5 linked regions of the Callithrix jacchus genome follow. The protein of the gene in region 5 binds, or shares a complex with, the protein of the main gene of each other region. Links are inferred from orthologs where the notes say so. Each region holds a gene or a part of one and is shown on either strand. Other genes may lie near its edges.

The links. Proteins that work in one complex are often made in the same cells at the same time.
Region 1: POLR2F (region 5) and GTF2A1 share a complex: the UniProt entries of both Homo sapiens proteins name them as parts of the TBP-based Pol II pre-initiation complex. The link is inferred for Callithrix jacchus from reciprocal best matches to the Homo sapiens genes POLR2F and GTF2A1.
Region 2: POLR2F (region 5) and POLR1C share a complex: the UniProt entries of both Homo sapiens proteins name them as parts of the pol I pre-initiation complex. The link is inferred for Callithrix jacchus from reciprocal best matches to the Homo sapiens genes POLR2F and POLR1C.
Region 3: POLR2F (region 5) and GTF2H4 share a complex: the UniProt entries of both Homo sapiens proteins name them as parts of the TBP-based Pol II pre-initiation complex. The link is inferred for Callithrix jacchus from reciprocal best matches to the Homo sapiens genes POLR2F and GTF2H4.
Region 4: POLR2F (region 5) and GTF2F1 share a complex: the UniProt entries of both Homo sapiens proteins name them as parts of the TBP-based Pol II pre-initiation complex. The link is inferred for Callithrix jacchus from reciprocal best matches to the Homo sapiens genes POLR2F and GTF2F1.

What each region holds. Positions count from the first base shown.
Region 1 is NC_133509.1:116,181,879-116,186,447, forward strand, and holds the start of GTF2A1 (transcription initiation factor IIA subunit 1), read right to left. Parts: upstream 3,193-4,569; 5' UTR 2,752-3,192; coding exon 2,722-2,751; intron 1,790-2,721; exon of another isoform or gene 1,716-1,789; intron 946-1,715; exon of another isoform or gene 762-945; intron 1-761. UniProt on the Homo sapiens protein: TFIIA is a component of the transcription machinery of RNA polymerase II and plays an important role in transcriptional activation. TFIIA in a complex with TBP mediates transcriptional activity.
Region 2 is NC_133505.1:51,998,363-52,003,133, forward strand, and holds the start of POLR1C (DNA-directed RNA polymerases I and III subunit RPAC1), read left to right. Parts: upstream 1-1,579; 5' UTR 1,580-1,602; coding exon 1,603-1,671; intron 1,672-1,798; coding exon 1,799-1,870; intron 1,871-3,810; coding exon 3,811-3,918; intron 3,919-4,193; coding exon 4,194-4,326; intron 4,327-4,544; coding exon 4,545-4,664; intron 4,665-4,753; coding exon 4,754-4,771. Other genes in the region: protein YIPF3, read right to left, coding at 96-202, 374-583, 1,217-1,297. UniProt on the Homo sapiens protein: DNA-dependent RNA polymerase catalyzes the transcription of DNA into RNA using the four ribonucleoside triphosphates as substrates.
Region 3 is NC_133505.1:35,701,950-35,706,583, reverse strand, and holds the start of GTF2H4 (general transcription factor IIH subunit 4), read right to left. Parts: upstream 3,193-4,634; 5' UTR 3,003-3,192; coding exon 2,991-3,002; exon of another isoform or gene 2,853-2,990; intron 2,383-2,852; coding exon 2,243-2,382; intron 1,984-2,242; coding exon 1,879-1,983; intron 1,496-1,878; coding exon 1,364-1,495; intron 766-1,363; coding exon 669-765; intron 595-668; coding exon 506-594; intron 290-505; coding exon 178-289; intron 21-177; coding exon 1-20. UniProt on the Homo sapiens protein: Component of the general transcription and DNA repair factor IIH (TFIIH) core complex, which is involved in general and transcription-coupled nucleotide excision repair (NER) of damaged DNA and, when complexed to CAK, in RNA transcription by RNA polymerase II.
Region 4 is NC_133523.1:6,030,811-6,035,578, forward strand, and holds the start of GTF2F1 (general transcription factor IIF subunit 1), read right to left. Parts: upstream 3,193-4,768; 5' UTR 3,039-3,192; coding exon 3,027-3,038; intron 2,943-3,026; coding exon 2,896-2,942; intron 2,086-2,895; coding exon 2,013-2,085; intron 1-2,012. UniProt on the Homo sapiens protein: TFIIF is a general transcription initiation factor that binds to RNA polymerase II and helps to recruit it to the initiation complex in collaboration with TFIIB. It promotes transcription elongation.
Region 5 is NC_133502.1:208,954,895-208,959,585, reverse strand, and holds the start of POLR2F (DNA-directed RNA polymerases I, II, and III subunit RPABC2), read right to left. Parts: upstream 3,218-4,691; 5' UTR 3,063-3,217; coding exon 3,001-3,062; intron 158-3,000; coding exon 88-157; intron 1-87. Other genes in the region: C1H22orf23 (UPF0193 protein EVG1), read left to right, coding at 4,023-4,122. UniProt on the Homo sapiens protein: DNA-dependent RNA polymerase catalyzes the transcription of DNA into RNA using the four ribonucleoside triphosphates as substrates.

The sequences.
Region 1 (4,569 bases), on a different chromosome or scaffold from region 5:
CAAACAAAATACAAATAATAAATTTGTCAGTACAATTTACCTCAACCATTAAAAACTATTCACTCCTTCTCATTAAAAGAAAACCAATTCAAATATCTGGGTTCTTGCTTTACTGTTCCACTCACTCACTAACCTCTTTATTTCGCCCAATCTGCCTCTTGAAGCTTAAATTACTCATCTGCAAAATGAACATTTCTATCGTCCCTGCTTTAACATTCATTCTGTTTCTACATATAAGGAAAGTATATGTGACTATGGACATCATCTTAACTAAATTAATTTAACTGCTGAATTACAAAAGTATCTCTATAGTGTTTTGTTTTTTAATCAATAATGACTCCTCAAGGCATTAGAAGGGCAATGTATTTTAAATTGGGAGCATAAATCTCAAATTGACAATACATAATGCTTTTCAGTAAACTAGATGGTGTGGTGTTCCTCAAATCAGTTACCTCTAAAAACCTTTTGCTTGGAGATCCAGAGATATATAGGTATAAATTTGCTTTCTTCTGGTACTCCTCTACTTAATGAATCATTCTTTAAGATTTTATTTTTGTGCCTTAATGAACTCACAACTTGATCACTTAACAGCTTCATAAGCACTATAGTTTAAAGAAGGGAAACGTGTATGCTTCACAAAGTATATGCCCAATGAATAATTTAGAATTGTTCACAATTTGAAAAGCACTCAAGACACGAATTTTTGAAAACTATGTGGGCACATAGGCATTATTTGAAATAAGCAATTTATAAACTAGTACCTAAAATTCTTCACTCTATTGAGTCAAAGTTTCCGTTTCTCACGAAATAGTTTAGGTTTGTCCTGATTTTTAAAAAGACAGGTATTTCAAACTTGAAAACTGGTTTATCAGAGGGCCACTAGTGGCATTATTAAGTGATTTCTTAGGAGGTTTCCTTCAAAAATGTTAATTCCCTGATGCAATGCTGAAAAATAAATTGAAATAATTTTTATACTGGATACTGTGTTAATAATATCCAAGGCGATAAAGTTCTACTTAACAGTTTTTTAAAATCCAGTTTGCACTAAGTCTCTTCCCTCTAATTACTCACGATTCCCCTACACATAAATGGTCCTATTCTGAAGCTTCAGGCACTTATCTATTTCTCTGAAAGGCCTCGTGTCTTTTAGATTTACTATAGAAAAACATAATGAAATATTAGGAGCTGTATTTCTAACCTGTTTCCTGAATATTTGAACAAAATACAACAAAAACCAAGTCCTCTGCAGCTAACACTTTGTAGAAAGCAGTTTTTTTAATTCCTGAAAATAATGCACACAGGAAAATCACTAGACTATCTGATCAAAAATTCTTTGTTTTCATATTTTGAAAATTGTAAATAAAAACGGACAGCGATTCGGATATATTTCCCCTAACAAACAAAAGAAGGTAATTCCTAGCTGCTGCTAGGAACAAAACAAAAACTTGGGGCTCTGAAAGCAGCCCCCGACAGGCGCGAAATTACAGCGTGAAAAAAGGACCTACAAATAAACTGAGCTCCGCACGCGCCTGGCTCTCGCCTCGGGAGCACGCACCTCCCAGCCCCGCTCTCAGCAGCTCTCACTATTTAAAGCCGGATCTGGTGTTTAAATGGAGAGGCGGTGACGTAGGCCTGAAAAGCACCTACCCATCCTGGCAGAGTCTATATTAGAGAGCGGCAATGGCTCTATATAAACAGGGCAGCCAAAGGGAGGAGGACCACAAAGCTCAGGGACTGAAAAGCAGGGTAAGCGGCCGCAGCCATGATGGATCGACCCGAGTCGCCAACGGTACGGTGTCGGGCGGCCGCGGGCTAGTCTGCGGCATTTGGGACCGGGCAAAAACGTGTTTTATTGTCATATAAAAATAAGAGTTGGGGGGACTAGTGATCACATTGCGTTGGTGACTGAAAAGGTTATTTATGTGACTGCTTTTTGCAAACCTACGTGATCGCAAATAACCAAAAAGGGACCAACGGGAAGAAGTAGGCAAATTTCAAGGCGAAAGCAGGGACACTTGGACCACTGTAGGCTTTTTTTGTTTGTTTTGGTGCTTTTGCTAGTCGAAGATACGATGGGGGGGGGGTTGCTTCCCCTTCGCCATTTTACCCATTCGGAAGGAACTGAGATAAGTGCTTTTCAAACAACCTTAGTCCTTTTTTTAAACATAAAATGGCCCCAGTGAAGGTTCCCAAAGCACAACTGCCAGGAAAAAACCTAAGTAACCCCCAAAAGTAGCCATTAATCCTCCACTGCATTAAAGTGGATCACGGTGGGTCTCAGGGGTTCGCCCGATTCCCCAGACACGGTTTTTGTTCTTAAGCCGCTCGGGGAGCCATCGTCTAGCCAGCGCGGACGGGCCCCTCGGGGGGAAGCGGCGGCTCCCCTCACGCCCTCCCTCCCGGGGGCCGGGTTCTGGGGCCGGGGCTGCGCGCCCGCCCGGGCCCAACCGCCTCCGCGGCCCGACCCGGCCCGCGGCGGCCCCAGGCCCCGCCGGCGCCCCCGCCCTCCCCGAGCCGCGAGCCCTCGGCGCCCCCCCGCGCCCGCCGCCCGCCGCCCCGGCCCGATCCGCCCGAGGCGGGAAGCGGCGGCGGCAGCGGCGGCGGCCGCGCGGGCGGCTGAAGAGTCGAGGCCGGGAGTCGCCGCCGTCCCCGCCCCCGCCCGGTCCGGCCGTTGCTGCCGCCTGAACGAAGCCCCCGCCGGCCACCGAACCACGTCCTTACCACGGTGTTTGTATTTGCCGAGTTCGCCATTTCCACACACAACACAAACAAGAGGGGGCAACCCCAAGAAAACAAGATAAAAACAAAACCAAAAAAAAAAAATACTAAAACACCCGAGGGTGACCCAAGTCACCGCAAGATTGGGGAAAAAAACTTAAACAAAATCAATCCTGAAGGAGTAGGGGAGAGCGGAGAGGAGGAGGAGGAGGAGGAGGGGGGCACTCCTCCCGCAGCTAAAAACCTCGAGAATCGTCTTTTTAAAAAAAAATCCACGACCCTTAAGGGGTCCGGGGGCGTTGCCCGCTCCCCACCCCGCGCCAAGGAGGGAAACCACCACCGGTCACCGCTCCCTGCGCCGCCGCTGCTGCCACCGGCTGCAGCTCCAGCCGTCCGGTCCGCTCGCTTCTCTCCTTTATATAGCGAGCCAACAAGCTGCGCGAACCGCCGCCGCCGCCGCCGCCGCTGAGAGACAGGGTGATGGGGGAGGGAGGGGTGGAAAGGGCGGGGGCAGAGGTGGGCGGGGCTGAGCGCGAGACACCGCGAGAGCCGCGTGCGCAGGCGCGTCGGGGCGGAGGCCGCCGCGAGCCGCGTCGTCACGCGCGGTGGGGGTGCTCGACTGGCGGAGCTTGGGTAGTGAAGTAGTGAAGTCGGACCTACGCCTCTCCAACTCTCGCGTGATCACGTGGTTGGCACCCAGGCGGAAGTCTGCCGCAGTTCTTTGCGGTGAAGTACTTGCAAAGCGTTTCTGGAAAAGGCGCGAGTTCTAGTGACATTCCAGTCCAAAGCTAGGTGGGACCGCCTCCTGTCGCACGTTTCCGCCCGGTCCCGCGCTGGAGGAGCTAGGAAATGAGACAAGCGGTAGCGACTGCCTCGCTAGGAATGGCCGCGGAGAACTGGTCACGTGGTGCGGCTTCCGGCCTCTGGCGGGTTCCGATTCGGGACGGTTTTAAATGCGGAGTCATCTCTTGATTTGTCAGCGAGGCTTTGACTGTGAGCCTCGGAGCGTTCGCTCCTCGCCGAGGGTGGGTCTTTCGCGGGCAGAATTATGTAGAATTTCCCAATGGGAGTAAAAGCCGATTGGGGCCCACTTTCACATTCCAGAGTTACTAACCTCTGACTTGGTTTGTTTCCACACTGGGTCCGCTACGAAGACCAGGCTTACTTAGGTTACCCAGAGATTAGTTCCCTACTAGCCCACGTACTTTAAATAATTTGTCACGGTGGTGGAAATGCGGTGCGGGGAGTAGGGGAGACAACCCCACCAGCCTTTGGATTATAACAGCACAATAACTTTCCCTGGTTTTAAAAAATACTGCCAAAATCCCACTACTCCGCATGGCCAACGTGTAGTGACTGATCACATTGAAACACATGCCCTTGACCCAAATCGCTTGGCCTCTAGTTATAAGAGAGCACGGCGGCTGTGCCCGTGTCTTGAAGTGCAATCCAATAAGCTTTTGACCTCCTCTGTCCAAACAAATCCTGCCTTTATATCAACATTACAAGCAGAACGGAGCCCCTGGAATTTTGAGGGACCTGAAATGTCATCTGGATGAGTGAAGGAGTTTGTCTTCCAAAGACAGAGCAAAACGAAAAGTTCTTTGCTGGTGAAACCAGATTTGAAGAATGTCAAAGGCATCTTACCAAAGAGAAAAAAAAAAAAAAAATGCAGCCTGCCAACACCTGAAGAAAGGGATTAGAGAAAGCAGGGGCCTTTAATACGCAGAAAATGGGAGATTATCAATGGGTGTGGAGAATATCTATGAACCTTGAGATTTATTTTCACACCAAATCCATTCCCCTCTTAACAATTACTTCCAGTTACCTGCACAGCTGCATGGTCTGGAA
Region 2 (4,771 bases), on a different chromosome or scaffold from region 5:
CACGAAGAGGGGGAGCCCACCAGAGCACAGGGCTTGTAGAGTGCATGAAGGAGTAGGTATTAGGAGGGAAGCTTCTTCAAGAGAAGGCTCCTCACCTGCTTCGCACCTGGGCAGGCTCCACATCAAAGTAGGGTCTCAGGATGTCGATGTTGGCATACAAGCTGAAGGCCCTGGAGGCTTGTCTCTTCCCAGCCTGCCACATCTGAAGGAAGATGGGCATAGGTATTGTGGAACTCTTGGCATTAGACCCTGTTGCCTATTTTCCATTTGATTTCTACCAGGACAACCTGGGGCGACACACCAATACCAACTCCAGGACATGGGACACACCTAGGTTTACTTTTCCACCTGCAGGGGATTCCATCTTGCTTACCTGATCAGCCACCTGCCGGCTCAGCTGTCCCTTAAAGCCCTTCATGCCCAGGAACTCTCCATCCTCTTCTTCAGCAGCAGCCGCATCAGCGTCTGCATCAGCGTCTACTTCTTCCTCGCGCAGGCGCTGATGCAGTTCACCCATATCCTCGAAGCTAGAGCCTGAGGTATCATCCATGTTCTCCATGTCAATCACAGCTGAGCCTCCGCCCTGTTAAGACAATGGCTCCTAGAGTGCAGGACTTTTCTGTTCCATCCATTAAGTCCTCTGCTCATCCCAGGGCTTAGGGCTTTGTTCTTCCACTGCTGAGGATACGGCTTGGAATCACTACAGATCATGCCACTCCATTCCCCCTCATTTGCTCTCAGAACGCTTGATTTATAGCTTTGGCTATCTTTTCTAGCCTGGGAAACCAACTAGTCTTCCATTCATGTCTTTCTCCTACCTTACCTATCAAAGACTAAAAGCTTGAAAAAGAATCCATTTCTGTCTTTCCAAAGCCCCAAACAAAACTATGAACACAGTATGTTTTCGGCGAGTGCCAGTGAATCCCACCCAACCCCACTCCAGGCCTGACCCCAACCAACCTCCTAACTTGTTCCAAGAATACGTTCTTCCTAACGCCTCGGGCGGGCCCAGAGACCCGAGATCCTCAGGCTGGAGTAGTAGACTAGTCTGGCCCTTTCAGGTCAATGTTAACTCCACTGACTTTTGTGTGCAAGACCCAAAGAAGGCAGTTTTGCAAATGGAGTGAACTTCCAGGCCCCGAGGGAGAATCCCCAAGACACTTCTGGACATCGCCGGCCCTCGGGTTGCTGGCATCTGGTGCCTTGGGGCCATTACCTGGATGTTTTCTTCGAACCCTCCCCATTCCGGGCCAGCTCCGTTTCGGGCGCCGCCCGTCGGCGCCGCTGTAGTTGCCATGCCCTTTGAGGGCTCCCGTCGCTGAAGCCCGCGATAGCCCCGCGCGCAGGGAAGTGTGCGAGATGTGAGTCCCAAGAAGGGAGAGGTCCCAGGTCGCGGAGAGGTGGGATCAGCCGGAACACAAAAAGGAGAAACCCGGATGTTTGGACAAAACCAACTTCCGGAAATTGGGGACGTGGATGAAGGTGGAGCAAAGTCTCGCGATATTTAAGATTCCAGGAGGCGGTGCGTTGCCACGGAGATGGAGCAGTGCTGCTAGAACGCACGCGCCAGCTAGAGCCTGTAGTCTTTTGGAGAGATTGAACATGGCGGCTACTCAGGCCGTGGAAGAAATGCGGAGCCGCGTGGTTCTAGGAGAGTTTGGGGTTCGCAATGTAAGACTTGTGTCCTTGAGCTCAGGCGGGAGGAATGAGAGCGGAACAGGGATGGGTCTTGGGATTGGCGTGGGGATAGCCGTAGGCTCACTGTCCATTTGTGGACAAACTCATCCCTTTGCTCTAGGTCCATACCACTGACTTTCCCGGTAACTATTCCGGTTATGATGATGCCTGGGACCAGGAACGCTTCGAGAAGGTCAGTGGGGCCAGAGTTGTCCGGGGATTGTTAGGAGGGCCAGACCCTGTGGTCTCAGCAGCATGTGTCTGTCTCAGTAGCTGCTCTTGGGGGTCGCTCCGTTTGTAAGTTTTGTTGAGCAATGTGGTAGACCTCCGTTTACAGGCCAAGTTAGACACAGTTTCTACCCAGTTCTGCAAACAAGATGTTCAGTCTTGTTGAGGAATGGTGCGTATAAACAAGTGAATCTAGTTTAATATGGTAAAGGTGGTTGATAGCTGTGAAGATGGCAGGATTCGTGTGGGGAACATTATGCTGAGACCAGGAAGAGGGGCCCAGAGGTACTTAACATTTCTTGAGGAGGGAAGATCTGAATTGAGCTTTGAACGGTAAGTAAAGAACAGGAGTTAAATTAGGAAGGCTTTGAGTTTCAGGTCAGTGAAGTTGAGGATATACAGGTTTTGTGTGTATTTAGTCTATTATTGTTTCACTTAGCTTAAAATAAGGATTAAAATTGCATTTAAATAGATCACTGAATGTTACTGTTTATGCAACTGAACTGTGTGTGCAGTTTATAAAACATGATCTATAAATCTGTGCTTGGGAAAATTTTACTTTTTTTAACCTGTTGATACAGGAATAAAGTATGAACAATGAAAAAGGCTAATGCTTGAAAAAAAGTTATGGTGTGAATTGTGCTCCGGGAATGTCCAAGCAGTTCTGGCACTAGTGGTAGGCAAGATTGAAGTGTGTCTTGGGCACTGTTGATGATAGGGAGCTTGAATAGTTAAGCAGACATGATTAGATTTGCAACCCTGATAGCTGGGAGGGAATGAGTTTGAAGAGGATCGTATGGAGCAGGCAGATCTGTTGTAAGGGAAGCTGAGGTTGAAGGTATGAACTAAGACTGACGGTAGAAAGAGAGCAAAGGAAGAAAGAAGGTAAATTTGTGATTGCTTTGGTAAAGGCTGTTGGGGTAGCATAAAATGACTTTTTGACTTGGGAACTGCTTTGATGCATTGTGGTATCATTTACTGAGAGAAGAAATGGGTCTGGGGAAGAGGAATGATGATACGTCGTTTCCTGCATTTGGAGAAATCTAGCAGGCTAGAAGACTGCATATTTGAAATGAGATCAGAAGGGAGGTAAAATTTTGGGAGGTGTCAGCACAGATAGTTGCTAAAACCGTTGTTAGTGTGGTTAAGGTCACCTGGGAGAGAGACCAGAACCTGGTAGATTTAGAGATGGGTGGACGTTGTTGATCATCAGAGAAGGAAGAATGGAGCTCAGAAGCCAGGAGAATAGTTCAAAAAAGGAGGGGATTTTTTTTTTTTTTTTTTGAGATGGAGTCTCTGTTGCTCAGGCTGGAGTGCAGTGGCAGGATATCAGCTCACTGCAACCTCTGCCTCTTGGATTCAGGCAGCTCTCCTGTCTCAGCCTCCTGAGTAGCTGGTATTACAGGTGCACACCACCATGGCCGGCTAGTTTTTTGTATTTCTAGTAAAGATGAGGTTTCACCATGCCAGTCTCGAACTCCTGACCTCGTGATCCAACCACCTTGGCCTTCCAAAATGCTGGGATTACAGGCATGAGCCATTGCGCCTTTCCAGGAGGGGATTTTTTTAATCAATGCCAGGCGTAACAGACGTCTAGTAAAAGGACTGTCTAGTGTCAGCATGACTAAGCAGTGAGGTGGGTTTCTGTTCTTAGGACAATAGCTTCTGTGGATGGTTTGGTTGGGAGCCATATTGGATAGGGTTTTAATGAATGGAAGACAAAAAATGGACACTTTTCATGAACCTAAAGCAAGCACTGGACGAGAAAGAACATTTAATAAGGGACGTCTGGGCAAAGGGTGGTTTTTGGATGAGTGGATAATACTTGGAATCATCTGAGGGGGAGGTATGAAGAGCTATTACAAAGAGAGCAGGCTTCACTTAATCTTTTTCCTGTCCCTCTAGAATTTCCGTGTGGATGTGGTACACATGGATGAAAACTCACTGGAGTTTGACATGGTGGGAATTGATGCATCCATTGCCAATGCTTTTCGACGAATTCTGTTAGCTGAGGTATTGGCAGGCATGGTGACAAGGTTGGATTTGCTTTGGGAACTGCACTGACACTTGGAGTGTCACTTGGAGAATTAAGTGTCTCAAGCTGTCCTTCCCTTCTTATTTTTCCTGGAGTTTTGCTGGCTAAGGATTTTACCTTCTCATTCTTTGTAAACTTCTCATTAAACATTCTAGGAAGAGAGATAGCTCCCTACCTCTGGAGGTTGGAGTTTGTGGGGATAGGTAGGGGGTCTATTGGGTTTTTGCTGATAAGTGATTTTTTCCTTGGGCAGGTGCCAACTATGGCTGTGGAGAAGGTCCTGGTGTACAACAACACATCTATTGTTCAGGATGAGATCCTTGCTCACCGTCTGGGGCTCATTCCCATTCATGCTGACCCCCGTCTTTTTGAGTATCGGAACCAAGGTGAGAAAATGAAATTTTGGGAGAAGTGGACTGTCTGGGTTTAAATCCTGGTTGACTGTGACATTGGGTAAGTATATTAGTGTTTTTCATCTGTGAGAACACTTGCCCTCTCTTCCCAAGTTTGCCAAGATAATTAAATGGGAAATATGTAAAGCATTCAGCATAGTGCTGGCACTCAGATATTTACTAGTTCTTAAGAGCTCTCTCCATTGGTGCAGGAGATGAAGAAGGCACAGAGATAGATACTCTACAGTTTCGTCTTCAAGTCAGATGTACTCGGAACCCCCATGCTGCTAAAGATTCCTCTGACCCCAACGAACTGTACATGAACCACAAAGGTAAGTAGTGGTAGAGTGAGGAAGAGGGCCCACCTGTGGGTGGCTGCTAGTTTTAGGGACTGAGATCCTCTGACACGTTTTTCCTGCAGTGTATACCAGGCATATGA
Region 3 (4,634 bases), on a different chromosome or scaffold from region 5:
ACTAGGTCCATGCCCCGGCTCTAGGGAGAAAGAGGCAGAGATAAAGGAGAGATGGGAGGGAGACAATGGGGAGAAAGGGGCAGAGAAAAGAAAATTAGGGAAAATTCATAGGCAGGAGTCTCTCAGTGAGACCTGAGAGGAGCAGAACATGCTGGCAAGCGCCCCCCACCTCCTCACCTGGGCTGTCTGCAGATACTGCAACATAAAGTACCAGAGCTGGGCTGGGGTGTCCAGCAACAGGAACTGGAAGCCAGCAGAAGTAATGCAGGGTGGCTCTCCAGGTTCAGCACTAAGGACAAAGAGCAGGACGATGATGGTGATATGCAGAGAAAGGCTACTATACCCACTTGTCCACTCATGTTTTTTCTGGGTATCTCTGGCTATATTCTACTCAGCTTGCTTTTTCCAGACGATGTCCTCTGATCTTGACCAACCCGAGATACCATTTCTCAGAGACTCAAGGAGATGGCACAGCAGCAAACTGCTGTACCTCTAACTTCCTTACCTCTTCATGAGCCCAGCTTGGCTGAGGAGCTGAGCCAAGTCCTGGCTAACAGCTGCACTGGGGGAGCCCACCATGAAGTGCAAGACCACCTGAAGAACAGAAAGAACAGGGAGACCATGCCCCGAGGGCCATAGGAGGTAGAAGCTAAGTCCCAAGTGCTTACCTCCCATCGCTCTTCAGCGTACTTGTCAAGGGAGGGAACATCCCGGGCATGCTTGTCTGGTCCCAGCTGACTTGTGTCATCAGACCAGGCCTTCCCCCTAGAGCCAGGATGGGCCAAGAGTAAGGACCTCTGACCAGGCACGGTGGCTCACACCTGTAATCCATGTACTTTGGGAGGCCGAGGAGGCAGATCACTGAGGTCAGGAGTTCGAGACCAGCCTGGCCAACATGGTGAAGCCCCATCTCTACTAAAAATACAAAAAATTAGCCAGGCATGGTGGTGGGTGCCTGTAATCCCAGCTACTCAGGAGGCTGAGGCAGGAGAATATCTTGAACCCAGAAGGTGGAGATTGCAGTGAGCCAAGATTGTGACACTGCACTCCAGCCTGGGTGACAGAGCAAGACTCTATCTCAAAAAGAAACAAAACAAAACAAAAAAAGAGTAAGGAACTCTGTCTGTGTTCCTTGCTGTCCTTCTGCCATCTTTCCACCCTTATCCTCAGGGGCCATGACTGGGGGACATTGCCTACACAACACAGCTACATCTGGTCCAACTTATTCCTAAAGGAGCTCCCCAAGGTAGAGACCACAAGGTTCCAGGGAGGCCCCCATAAGCTCCCCCTCCCAAAGTTTAATAGCAGTTTAATTAGCAGCAGTTTCCCTTCCCTAGCTTAGGAAGAGATAGAAGTGACATACCCACCCAGAAGGGCAATGCGGAGGTTCTGACGGAAAATGGGGTTGAGGATAAGGCCCTGGAGCCCGCCTGGGAGCAGCTGGGTGTGCCAGATCCGGAGGCCACTCAGCAGCCCTGTACTTTCCTCCTGAGCCCTGGAATAGAAGCAAAGAGATGAGAGGGGGTGTCTGGAGAACAAAGAGAAGGCCCATAAAAGTTACCATTCCTGCCTGTTCTGAACTTGCTGATCTTTGAACTACTGTTTCACAGAGTGAAATCAGTATCTTAAGACAAATGCCTTTACTGCATTACCTATCAGAGCCTCATTGCTGATAACACACATAACTAAGAGGGAAGATACATTTGAAAACAAGAAGTCAGCTGGGAAATAAATAAAAGGGAAAACGCAGTATGCAGCATTTCCTAAATGTATTTATTTTTAAATTTTGTGATCTATTAATATTTCCTGGAAGTGCTCCAAGAAACAGCAGTTTGGGAAATGTTGCTGTTGAGAAATCTGTATCTGGCTGAGACTTACTTGCTGAATTCCTTCTTCACCCACAGGGCTACAGCAGCTTGTGGCAAAGGCTGCTCCAGAAAGAGCATCCGCATCACCCAGTTCTTAGCCAAGGATGGGAGCTCCCTGTATAGGGATAGAGGTCAAAGGTTAATTTCAGAAGCTGCACTGTATCTGCATCTCTGCCCTCAATTACCTCTCAAACATCTCATCTCACTCCACCACAGCTTTACCAGTCCTGCTATTTTGGCCTTCCACACTTTGGAGCAATTTTCAACCCTCACCCCCAGTCCCCACCCCCAATCCAGACTGCTATGCTTTTACTCATGATATTTATTTCCAATCTGCAGACCCCATTACATTTCCTTGCCATGGGGCTCCTCACCTGAAGACAGCCAGACAAGTGGCAGGGTGCCCATACAATCGGTCCAATACCCCAGGGCTCAGGCCCCCTAAGAATTCTTGTAAATTCCTGCATTGTAGGTGTACTCGGTTCAGTCCCCTTGAAGGGGTGCTCTCCATCACCTGAGGAATGCAAACGTCAGAGGCACACCCCCACCATCCATGCCAGTGTCACCCCTGACCTTTCTAACTCTGATTCCAGATCCATGAGCCCCCACAATAATCCCACCTTTTCTGTGGCTTACTTTCCCCTGTCACTTATCTCTAGTTTCTTCCAAATCTGACCAATCTCTCTCCGTTTCTGGTCTCCTCACCCTACTTCTGCCCTTCAACTCCAGTCTTCCCTCAATTACCAAGTGACAGACTTGCTAACTGTCCTATGTTTGCAAGATAATTTTGTATTCAATGACTTGTCTCATCTTTGGCTAAACAGGGACAAAGAAAATTGAGCCCACACCTCTCTCTTCCATCTCTCCTGGTCCAGATCAGTCAATAAGCTCCAAATCTGCCCGTCCTCCCTATCGTCTATCTCTTAGCCCACTTCTGCTATGACGATAACCTCTCCCCTTCACGCTTCCCAAATCTGAAGTCACCTCTTTTCCCTTCCCATTCACGCTGACCCACGCCTTCCGATCTCCTAGATTCTCCCTGCCTTCCTCCCACACCTCGCCTCTCACTCACCTCTCTCTCTCTCACAGCTATGCCACTCCCACCCTCCTAGGTCCCCTCACCACTCTGTCCATCCTCCTCGTGCACCCCGAGTCTCGGGCAGTCGCTTAATCGGAGCCAAAGTCTCTCATTGGCTCCCGGAGATTGAGGGAAAGATGGTTAAAAAAAAAAATGCCAGGGAAAGATGGGGAAAGCGACAAAAGATTTCACAGACAAGAGCCTAGAATGGAGAATTCAGAAGAGAAGGGAGGTAAGGGAAGGAGTGGAAGAGTGAAGAGGATGAGAATAGGCGCTGCACTCTCCCGGCGCGGGGTATGCTGGGAATTGGAGTCTTGTCTTTGCTCTCCTTGGAGCCGGCTGAAGCGCGTCTGACTACAAATCCCGAAAGGCACCGTTGGGAAGCCAAAAGGAGAGGAGCTGGCTTTTAATTTAGAGAGCGGGAGATACCAGAAGTCAGGCCAGTTGGTTCCGCGAAGGCAGAAGCAACTCCGCCCACGCTGCTAACGGCGCGTCTAACCGGCCTGAACAGGAGGCGGGTCCGGGGAAAATAGAAGTTCCTGGAGGGCTTCTTGGCGGAGGCGCGCCATGGCGACTTAGTGGTGAGCCGTTTAGGGGGTAGGGGCCACAAAACTGGATTCCGTGAGCACAATTACTCCCCGTAAAATTGAGATAATACACACTCCGGGACGGGCGCGGTGACTCACGCCTGTAATCCCAGCACTTTGGGAGGCCGAGACAGGCAAATCACCCGAGGTCAGGAGTTCGAGACCAGCCTTTACAACATTGTGAAAGTCTGTCTTTACTAAAAATACAAAAATTAGCCGGGTGTGGTGGCGGGCGCCTTTAATCCCAGCTACTCAGGAAGCTGAGGCAGGAGAATCGCTTGAACCTTAGAGGCGGAGGTTGCAGTGAGCCGAAATCGTGCCATTACACTCCAGTCTGGGCGACAAAAGCTAAAGTCAAAAAAAAAGAAGAAAGAAAGAAAGAAAAGAAAGAAAGAAAGAAAGAGAAAGAAAGAAAAAGAAAGAAAGAAAGAAAGAGAAAGAGAAGAAAGTATACACATTCTGGACGGTTTCCACAAGTTAACAACACCATCCAGTGCGCCTTACTTGGCCCTAAATACTCAATAATTCTTAATTTCTGCCTCTACCATGCCTAAAACCGTTTTCTTAGAAGACCCTGATAAATACAGTTTTTAAGACATCAGCTGTTTGCTCTGATTTGATTTATGAACCTGCTACAGAGAAAGACAGAGGTCTTCACCCAAAGCCAGAACTACACATTTCCCCAAATTTCTATAAGCAAATTCCATTATTCCCACTTTATAGACTGGAAGACCGGAGCCTGGCAAGATTAAGAATTGGCCTGCAGCCTGGTGAGGTGGCTCAGAGTCATGACTACTCAGCTACTCGGGAGGCTGAGGCGGGAGGATCACCTGAGACTAGGAGCTGGAGGCTACAGTGAGCTATGATTGCGCCAGCCTAGGCGACAGGGTGAGACCCCCATCTTTCTCTCACTCTCTCTCTCTCTCTCTGAAAAGGAGTCTCTCACTCTGTTGCCCAGGCTGGAATGCAGTGGCACAATCTGGGCTCAATGCAACCTCGGCCTCCAGGGTTCAAGCTATTCTCCTGCCTCAGCCTCCTGAGTAGCTGGGACTACAGGCATGCACCACCACACCCAGCTGATTTTTGTATTTTTAGTAGAGA
Region 4 (4,768 bases), on a different chromosome or scaffold from region 5:
GAACCGCAGGGAGGCAAAAGTTGCAGTGAGCTGAGATCATGCCAGTGTACACCAGCATGGGTGACAGAGTGACACTCTGTCTTTAAAAAACATTTAAAAAAAGACCAGCCTGGGCAATATAGTGAGACCCTACCTCTATTAGGCTGAGGCAGACAGATAATGAGGTCAGGAGTTCAAGACCAGCCTAACCAACATGGTGAAACCTTGTCTCTACTAAAAATACAAAAATTAGCTGGGTGTGGTGGCACACATTTGTAATCCCAGCTACTCAGGAGGCTGAGGCAGGAGAATTGCTTGAACCCAGGAGGCAGAGGTTGCAGTGAGCACAGATCACACCACTTCACTCTAGCCTGGGCAACAGAGCAAGACTCCATCTCAAAAAAATAAAGAAAGAAAATAAAGCGACCGGGCGCGGTGGCTCAAGCCTGTAATCCCAGCACTTTGGGAGGCCGAGGCGGGTGGATCACGAGGTCAAGAGATTGAGACCATCCTGGTCAACATGGTGAAACCCCGTCTCTACTAAAAATGCAAAAAATTAGCTGGGCACGGTGGCACGTGCCTGTAATCCCAGCTACTCATGAGGCTGAGGCAGGAGAATTGCCTGAACCCAGGAGGCGGAGGTTGCGGTGAGCCGAGATCGCGCTGCACTCCAGCCTGGGTAACAAGAGCAAAACTCCGTCTCAAAAAAAAAAAGAAAAAAAGAAAGAAAGAAAATAAAAAGGTCAGGCACAGTGGCTCACACCTGTAATCCCAGCACTTTCAGAGGCCAAGGTGGGTGGATCACCTGAGGTCAGGAGTTCGAGACCAGTCTGACCAACATGGTGTAACCCCATCTCTACCAAAAATACAAAAATTAGGTGGGAGTGGGGGTGGGCACCTGTAATCCCAGCTACATGAGAGACTAAGGCAAGAGAATGGCTTGAACCTGGGAGTTGAAGGTTGCAGTGAGCTGAGGTCGTGCCATTGCACTCCATCCTGGGCAACAAAAGTGAAACACCATCACAAAAAAATAAATTTAAATAAATAAAAAGAAATTCATTGTGCCAAACTTGTTGACAGTAAGACACCAAAATCTCTAAAATGTAACCATTAATCATGACCTATGTGGCCAATAAGGTCCCAATTACCCTTAAGCTCTTGCTTCAAGGTCCATATGTACCATTTCCAAAACACTCTAGAATCCAGCCACATCTCATCACCTTCACGGCCTCCACATCCCCAGGCCAGGACTCACCTAGACCAGTCAGCCCAGTTGCTTCCACCCTGTTCTCCCTTTATCCGCCCTCAAACCCACAGTTTGCCTCCCCACAGCAGCCAGATCACAATACAACTTCCCCGTGGAGGATGCTTTAATGGCTCCCACAGTCCTTTCTAGAGCCTCTGATGGCAGGGGCTCTGGGGAAGGCCCTAGCCCAGTCCCCTCCCTCAGCCAGATAAACCTTGGCAAAAATGGCCATCAGTGGGCACAACTTCTAAATGTTCTCCATTAAGGAATGGCCTCCTGTGGTCCTACTAAACGTAACTTACAGGGACACCCAGGAGCTTGGCCTGGGCCTTTGCCATCTTTTTTTTTTTTTTTTTTTTTTTTTGAGACAGGTCTTACTCTGTCACCAGGCTGGAGTGCAGTAGTGTAATCATAGCTCACTGCAGCCTTCAACTCCTGGGGTCAAGTGATCCTCCTACCTCAGCCTCCTGTGCAGGACTACAGATGCACACTACCACATCCAGCTAATTATTTTATTTTTGGTAGAGATAGGGTCTTGCTATATTGCCCAGGCTGGTCTTGAACTCCTGGCCTTAGGCAAGCCTCCTGCCTTGGCCTCCCAAGTGCTAAGATTACAGGTACAAACTACTGCACCCAACTCTTTGTCATCTACCTTATCTCCACTTGGGAAAAGTGAGAAAATTAAGACTTAGTTACTATGACAGCTAAGCAACTATTACAACCACCAAGGTCAGGGTCAGGTTCTCTCACCACCCCAGCCCCCGACCCCCAGGACCCAGGGACTTACCTGATTCCACGTGGCAAAGTTGACTTTATCAGCTGCATTAAAAGCCATGATGTTATATTTTTTGGTTGTATTCCTAGAGTGGATTAGAAGAGATAGAGCCAATCCAATACATCAATTCAATTCAATCATTAATTTAATCAATCAATGTGAACACATCATTAATTCAATCAAATCATTAATTCGATCGTTCCATTCAACTGAACCATTAATTCAAGCATTCCATTCCACTGAATCATTAATTCAGTCACTCAACAAACCCACCCTGGTTCATTCAGTCTGTTTTGCCTGTCAACACTGGATACGGAAGACTGCAGGAATCCCAGTCTGCCAGAGAAGCTAGACCCCATCCCCTCTTAACTGCGTGCAGACGAAGAACAAATGGAGGAACAAAGATTGGGAGAAACCCAAGATGTGGAGATTATTGGGAACTCAGCCTTGGGGAGGAGGGAGGTCAGTCAGGGAGTGCTTCCTGGAGGAAGATGATACTGGAGCTGAGTTTTGCAGAATCAACAAGAATTCACCCAACAGAGTCACCGTTTGGGGGCTGAGGGGAGGCACTCATGGCAGAGGGAACGGGATGTACAAAGGCCTGGAAAGGAAAGGCAGCCTGCTCGCTTTGAAAGAGGACGAGACAGCCTGGGCATCATATGCTCTCGAACGTTAGGCCAGGAGGCTGAATCGTGCTGTGTATTAATGCACTCATTCATACAAAAAGCAGTGTTTGCCTCCAGAGAAGCCTCAGCTTAATCGCAGCCCTGCCCTCCAAGTCCCCCGGTCTGGAGGGAGAACCACAGACAGGGCCAGAAACGTCAGGCTAAGAGGACCGTAAAGGTTTTCACTTTTGCGGGGTGGAGAGGAGTGGGAGATGGGGTAGGGGATTTACTTCGGAACTCGAACGACGTATTCAGTGACATTCTGGCTGCTGGGGCCCTGCGGAAAGAGGAAGCGGACGGTGAGTAAGGTGCCGCCGAGGTCGCCGCCGGGACCCCCGAACCCCGCCAAATCCACACTCACTAGGGCCGCCATGGGCAATGGTCAGTGGTTCCGTGGTCCGACCCGGGTTCCTTTCTTCTCCTCTGGCTAGCGCGTCCCTCGATCTCGGGGAAGCCGCCGTTCCTTGTCGGGTCTCTGTTCCGGTCCCCGTGTGAGGATTCCTACCCTAGGCGCCTCTGGCACTGGGAAAGGGTAACCGGAAGAGGCGTTCAGGTTATTCCGTCTACGCCTCCGCGGCCGCCTAACCCGGAAGCTAAACCCTCCAGCGGCCGCGTCGCGATGGCAACCTTCTAAGCGGCTGTGGCTACCTCAATGCGCCGTCACTTATGTTCCTCGGCGTCTATGGCCACCTCAAAAGAGCCACCCCTGCCCCTTTTCAGACGCAACAAGGCCGAGTCTGAGATCAAATAACCGGCCTTGGTCGCTGATGCTCCTATGTACAGTGCGGTCATCAAATGTGGGACCGCCCTCCTTCGTGACGTCAGCACCCAAGGACCGCAGGGCATCCTGGGTGGGAAGAAGGAAGCTAGTCCTCCTTGCGGGCTCCCAGGCGCTTTGCGCATGCGTCATGCCGCTCGGGACTTTGGGGCTTGGAAGGCCGCGTCACCATAGCAACTGAGGCCTACTCGGGTCCAGTCGAACTGCCGCTTGGCTCCCTATGGGCCTGTTTGGGGTTCGTTTCCTCTACCTGCCCAGAAGGGGTGGACCCCGTCATTCCCGCAAAATGACCGGAGCGGGGACCCTTGTGACGTTGAGCCGAGCCAGGAGGGGTCAGAGCCTGCCCGGAATCGGGGCGCGACCACCCCAAGGGCTGCTGGCGGGATGGGTCTCTGCAAGTCCAAGCTGCCCCAAATGGGCAGGGCTCTGAGGCCCCCGGAGAAGAGTAACGTCGTGGGGGTGGCTGGCTGGCTTACTGGGGGGAAGGGAAGGAGGCTGCAGAGGACGGGAGGGAGGTGCAAGTTCCCCTACCCCATTCCAGGCGTGCACACACCCCTCAAGCCTGGCAGTAACACAATTGCGCATGCTCACAGCACAACCATTCATTGCTCTAGTTCGGAAATACTCAAGCACGCTGCTGGGTTCCGGGCTCCGCCAGGTGAATATATCAAACCAGCTCTCTGTCCTCTGCGGGTTACAGTGTCGTGGCGGAGACTCATAAAATGGGAATCTACAACCCAGGAAGGAGCAGGAGAAGCACAGCGGGGCTCTGAGGGCTCAGAGAAGACGGGAGGTTTCAGTTGGCCACTGAGGGATGCATAGGAGTTGTAGGCTACGCAGAGGGAAGGGGAACAAGACATGTCTGGTTTCATTTATTCCTCATCCACTAAATGTCAAGAACTGCCAACTCCTCGGAATGTAGGAGTGAGAGAGGCAGAAGTAGTCTGGGGTGTAAACTTTTTAATTCCTGTAGTGGGTTAGTGTAGGGGGTAGACCCCATAAGTTCTGGGGAGTCAGAAGCCTCAGAAATGTCATTAATTTATATTCCCGGCCGGGCGCGTGGCTCACGCCTGTAATCCCAGCACTTTGGGAGGCCGAGGCGGGTGGATCACGAGGTCAAGAGATCGAGACCATCCTGGTCAACAGGGTGAAACCCCGTCTCTACTAAAAATACAAAAAATTAGCTGGGCATGGTGGCGCGTGCCTGTAATCCCAGCTACTCGGGAGGCTGAGGCAGAATTGCCTGAACCCAGGAGGCGGAGGTTGCGGTGAGCCAAGATCGCGCCATTGCACTCCAGCCTGGGTAACAAGAGCGAAACTCTGTC
Region 5 (4,691 bases):
AAGGCAGATACATTCAGGTTACTGTCACCTGCCAGACTGTTTGGCAGCTTGGGCTGCAGAGGTGGGAGCCTGAGGCTGAATACTGACCTCTTCGGCATTCTCCAAGTCATCTAGCCCTTCATCCTCTTCCACGTCATCAAAGTCGTCACCATCAAAACTGTACAGGAAGAATAAATCAGTTAGTTAGAGCATCACTTACCAGAAACAAAGAGGGGCCGACCATGGTGGCTCACACCTGTAATCTTGGTACTTTGGGGGATGGAAATGGGTGGATCACTTGAGGCCAGGAGTTTGAGACCAGCCTAGCCAACATGGTGAAACCCCATCTCTACTAAGAATAGAAAAATTAGCTGGGCATGGTGGCCCATGCCTGTAATACCAGCTACTCAGGAGGCTGAGGCACGAGAATTGTTTGAACCCAGAAGGCGGAGGTTGCAGTGACCCAAGATCGTACCACTGCACTCCAGCCTGGGTAAAAGAACAAGAACCTGTCTCAAAAAAAAAAAAAAAAATCAATAAGTGCAAAGATATATGTCTCGCCCACTATATAGGAAGCACTCAATAAATATCTACTTAATAAGGATCAGCCGGGCATGGTGGCTCACACCTATAACCCCAGCACTTTGGGAGGCTGAGGCAGGTGGATCACTTGAGGTCAAGAGTTCGAGACCAGCCTAGCCAACATGGAAAAATCCCATCTCTGCTAAAAATACCAAAAATGGGCTGGGCGCGGTAGCTCAAGCCTGTAATCCCAGCACTTTGGGAGGCCAAGGTGGGTGGATCACGAAGTCAAGAGATCGAGACCATCCTGGTCAACATGGTGAAACCCCGTCTCTACTAAAAAAATACAAAAAATTAGCTGGGCATAGTGGCGGGTGCCTGTAATCCCAGCTACTCAGGAGGCTGCGGCAGGAGAATTGCCTGAACCCAGAAGGCGGAGGTTGCAGTGAGCCGAGATCTCGCCATTGCACTCCAGCCTGGGTAACAAGAGCGAAACTCCGTCTCAAAAAAAAAAAAACAAAACAAAACAAAAATGAGCCAGGTGTGGTTGGTGCCTGTAATGCCAGCTACTCAGGAGGCTGAGGCACGAGAATCACTTGAACCTGGGAGGCAGAGCTTGCAATGAGCTGAGGTCACACCATTGCACTCCAACTTGGGCAACAGAGTGACACTCCTTCTCAAAATAATAATAATAATAAGTAAATCAGACTTTTGTTCCATTTTACTCCTTCAATCTTTCCCCATCTGCCCCCAGATTTTGTTAGGACTCATTCATCATCGCTGTTTGCCTCTCTACTGGATCATTCTCATCAGCCTTTTTTTTATTTTTTTTTTAAGACAGAGTCTTACTCTGTCACCCAAGCTGGAGTGAAGTGGCGCAATCTCGGCTCACTGCAACCTCCGCCTCCTGGGTTCAAGCAATCCTCCTGTCTCAGCCCCCCGCGTAGCTGGGATTACAGGCATACACCACCATGCCCAGGTAATTTTTGTTTTGAGACGGAGTTTCGCTCTTGTTACCCAGTCTGGAGTGTAATGGTGCGATCTCGGCTCACTGCAACCTCCACCTCCTGGGTTCAGGCAATTCTCCTGCCTCAGCCCCCCGCGTAGCTGGGATTACAGGCATACACCACCATGCCCAGCTAATTTTTTGTATTTTTAGTAGAGACGGGGTTTCACCATGTTGACCAGGATGGTCTCCATCTCTTGACCTCGTGATCCACCTGCCTCAGCCTCCCAAAGTGCTGGGATTACAGGCTTGAGCCACCGCACCCGGCCAATTTTTGTATTTTTAGTAACGAAAGGGTTTCACCATGTTGACCAAGCTGGTCTTGAACTCCTAACCTCAGGTGATCCACCCTCCTTGGCCTCCCAAAGTGTTGGGATTAAAGGTGTGAGCCACCACTCGGCCCATCAGTATTTCAACATGTGCTTTTCCTCAACTAAAAAAAAAAAAAAAAACCCTTCCTTCTCTTCTCCCTCCCCCTACAGCCCTAATTCCATAGTGCCCTTTGAAGCAAAAATAAGTGAAAGAGCTGTCCCTCACTGTCTACAATTCCTCTCTTCCCATCCTGTCATAATCCCACTCCAAAAAGCCTTTCACACCAAGAGCTCCATCAAAACCCCTCTTCCCAAGTTCATTAATGATCTCCACGTTGCTAAATCCAATGGCCAATTCTCAATCTCATTTAGCCTGATCTACCAGCTGACACATTAGGCCACTCGCTCTCCTCACTTGACTCCAACGACACCTCACTCTCTTGGTGTTCCCCCACCTCCCTGGCTTCTCTTTTCCTCCAAGCACTCAACGTTTGAATGCCCGAACGCTCAGCCACGGGTCATCTCCTTTTCTCTACTGACACTGAGAATGTTGTAGCAATCCCACACGTTTCTTATTTTTATCTTCACACTAAATCTCTTTGTGCCCACACATCCAACAGGTAATTTTTTTGGCTCTACTTTTAAAATAATAATATATCCAGAATTCAAAACCACTTCTCACCACCTCTGCTCCTACCACCCTACCACAAGCTACTGACTTTCACCTAGATTACTGCAACCAGGCCGGGCACAGTGGCTCACACCTGTAATCCCAGCACTTTGGGAAGCTGAGACGGGTGGATCACTTGAGGTCAGGAGTTCGAGACCAGTCTGGCCAGCATGGTGAAACCCCATCTCTGCTAAAAACAAAACAGCCAGATGTGGTGGCACATGCCTGTAATCCCAGCTACTCGGGAGGCTGAGGCAAGAGAATCCCTCCTTGAACCTGGGCGGCAGAGGCTGCAGTGAGCTGAGATCGCGCCACTGCACTACAGAGCCTGGGCGACAGAGCAAGACTCCGTCTAAAAAAAAAATAAAAATAAGATTACTGCAACCAACCCTTCCAGACTTGTATTTAATGCCACCGGTGGAGCTGCCCCAGACCCTTCTCTGGAGAACTCCTATATTACATACTTCTAGAACTGGAGAAGCTCACGCGACTCCCATGACCTGTTTACTTACTTATGGGCCTGTGCCCCCTGTTCTAGAAAGCGAGCACGTGGAGGGCAGGGACGATTCCTCATTCACCTCAATATTCCCATGACACAGAGCCCGGCTCACCGAAAGACACCTTTCCTACGGATCCTATCCGGACCCTCGAGCCAGGAGCTTCCCGTGCCCGGTCTCCGGTCGGGCCGATGCTCCTGGGTCCCCGCCCTTTCCTTCCCCGGCACCGCCTGCCCCCTCAGGCCGCCAATCCCCTCAGACGTTGCCCCTCGACGCCAGGCTCCTCAGCCGCCTTCGACCCACGCCTTGCCTCATCTGCCCCTTCTGAGGTTGCCGCAAAGGCCACTTGGCTCTCGCACTCACTTGTCCTCGTTGTCTGACATGACACCCTAGTCTCTGCGACGCCGCTGCTCCCCAGTGCCGCGCGGAGACCCGCAAACGGCTCCACTACGACTCGCGCGGCGCCACGATTATCCTGCGCTTGCGCGGTAACCCAGAGGCATCACTTCCGGGAGGCAGGACGGCGCGAGAGAGAAAGGGCGCATGCGTTGACTCGTGGGCGCGTTACCATGGTAGCCACGGTAGCCACAGTTGTTAGTTGCCAGCTCTAGCAGCCCAGATCGCGTAGGATTTCTACGTGGCACCGGTGCGGCTGCGGCTGTAAAGCAGTGGTCACCGCCTCCGAGAGCTCACCTCTATGTGGAGAAGGGAGCACCCAGAGGAGGTCTTAGGGTGAAATTTCAATTTTGGCATATCTCTCAGTGGGTACTGTTCTGATCTGGCTATGTTAACACTGCCTTCCTCCCGAGGGGACTTCCCTGCCACAGGCGCTGGGTCAGAATGAGGACTCTGTGTGTGTATCTGTCTGTGTCCGGATGGGAGGTTTGGGCACTGTCTCGATATTAAATGGCGGCATCACGATTCTCTGGCTGGATCCCCGCTTCCAGACTTCTAGGGTGGTGGGCGTGGGGAAGAGGAAATTAGGGATAGGAGACAGAGGGTGTGTCTTTGCATCCTTCCCTCCTCAGGGTCCTTGCATGGCTTCACAGAAGATAGAAGTAGTGACCAAAGCAACGGGGTTCCGGCGCCGCCCCAAGAAGACCACTTACACCCCGGGGACCTGCGAGCTGCTCGAAGGTCAGTGCTTTAAAGCAGCGATCCCCAGCCTTTTTGGCACCAGGGACCGCTGTCGTGGAAGACAAGAACGGTTTCGGGATGAAACTGTTCCACCTCAGATCATCAGGCATTCCTTAGATTCTCATAAGGAGCCTGCAACCTAGATCCCACGCGTGCGCAGTTCACAATAGGGTTCACGCTCCTATGAGAATCTAAGGCTGCCACTGACCTGAAAGGAGGCGGTGACGCTCGCTAGCCCGCTGCTCACCTCCTGCTGTGCGGCCCTGTTCCTAACAGGCCAGGGACTGGTGTCAGTCCAGGAACGGGGGACGGGGCAGGTGGGGGACGGGTGGAAACCCGAGTTAAAGGATGAGAAAAGAATGATGGTAGTTACCCTCTGTAACTCAGTTCTCCCCTACCTGACCTGTGGCTTAGCAATTATTGCTATTTTCCTTTACAGATAAGGAGCCTGGGGTTCAGGAAGCTTCCAAGTTCTACTGCATATACCTTAGTGGGCAGGAGCGGGGGAGGGAGGGAAGGTTCAAGGTGCTACAGCTTGCCAAAAGTCAACTAACATTTTTAGAGTAATT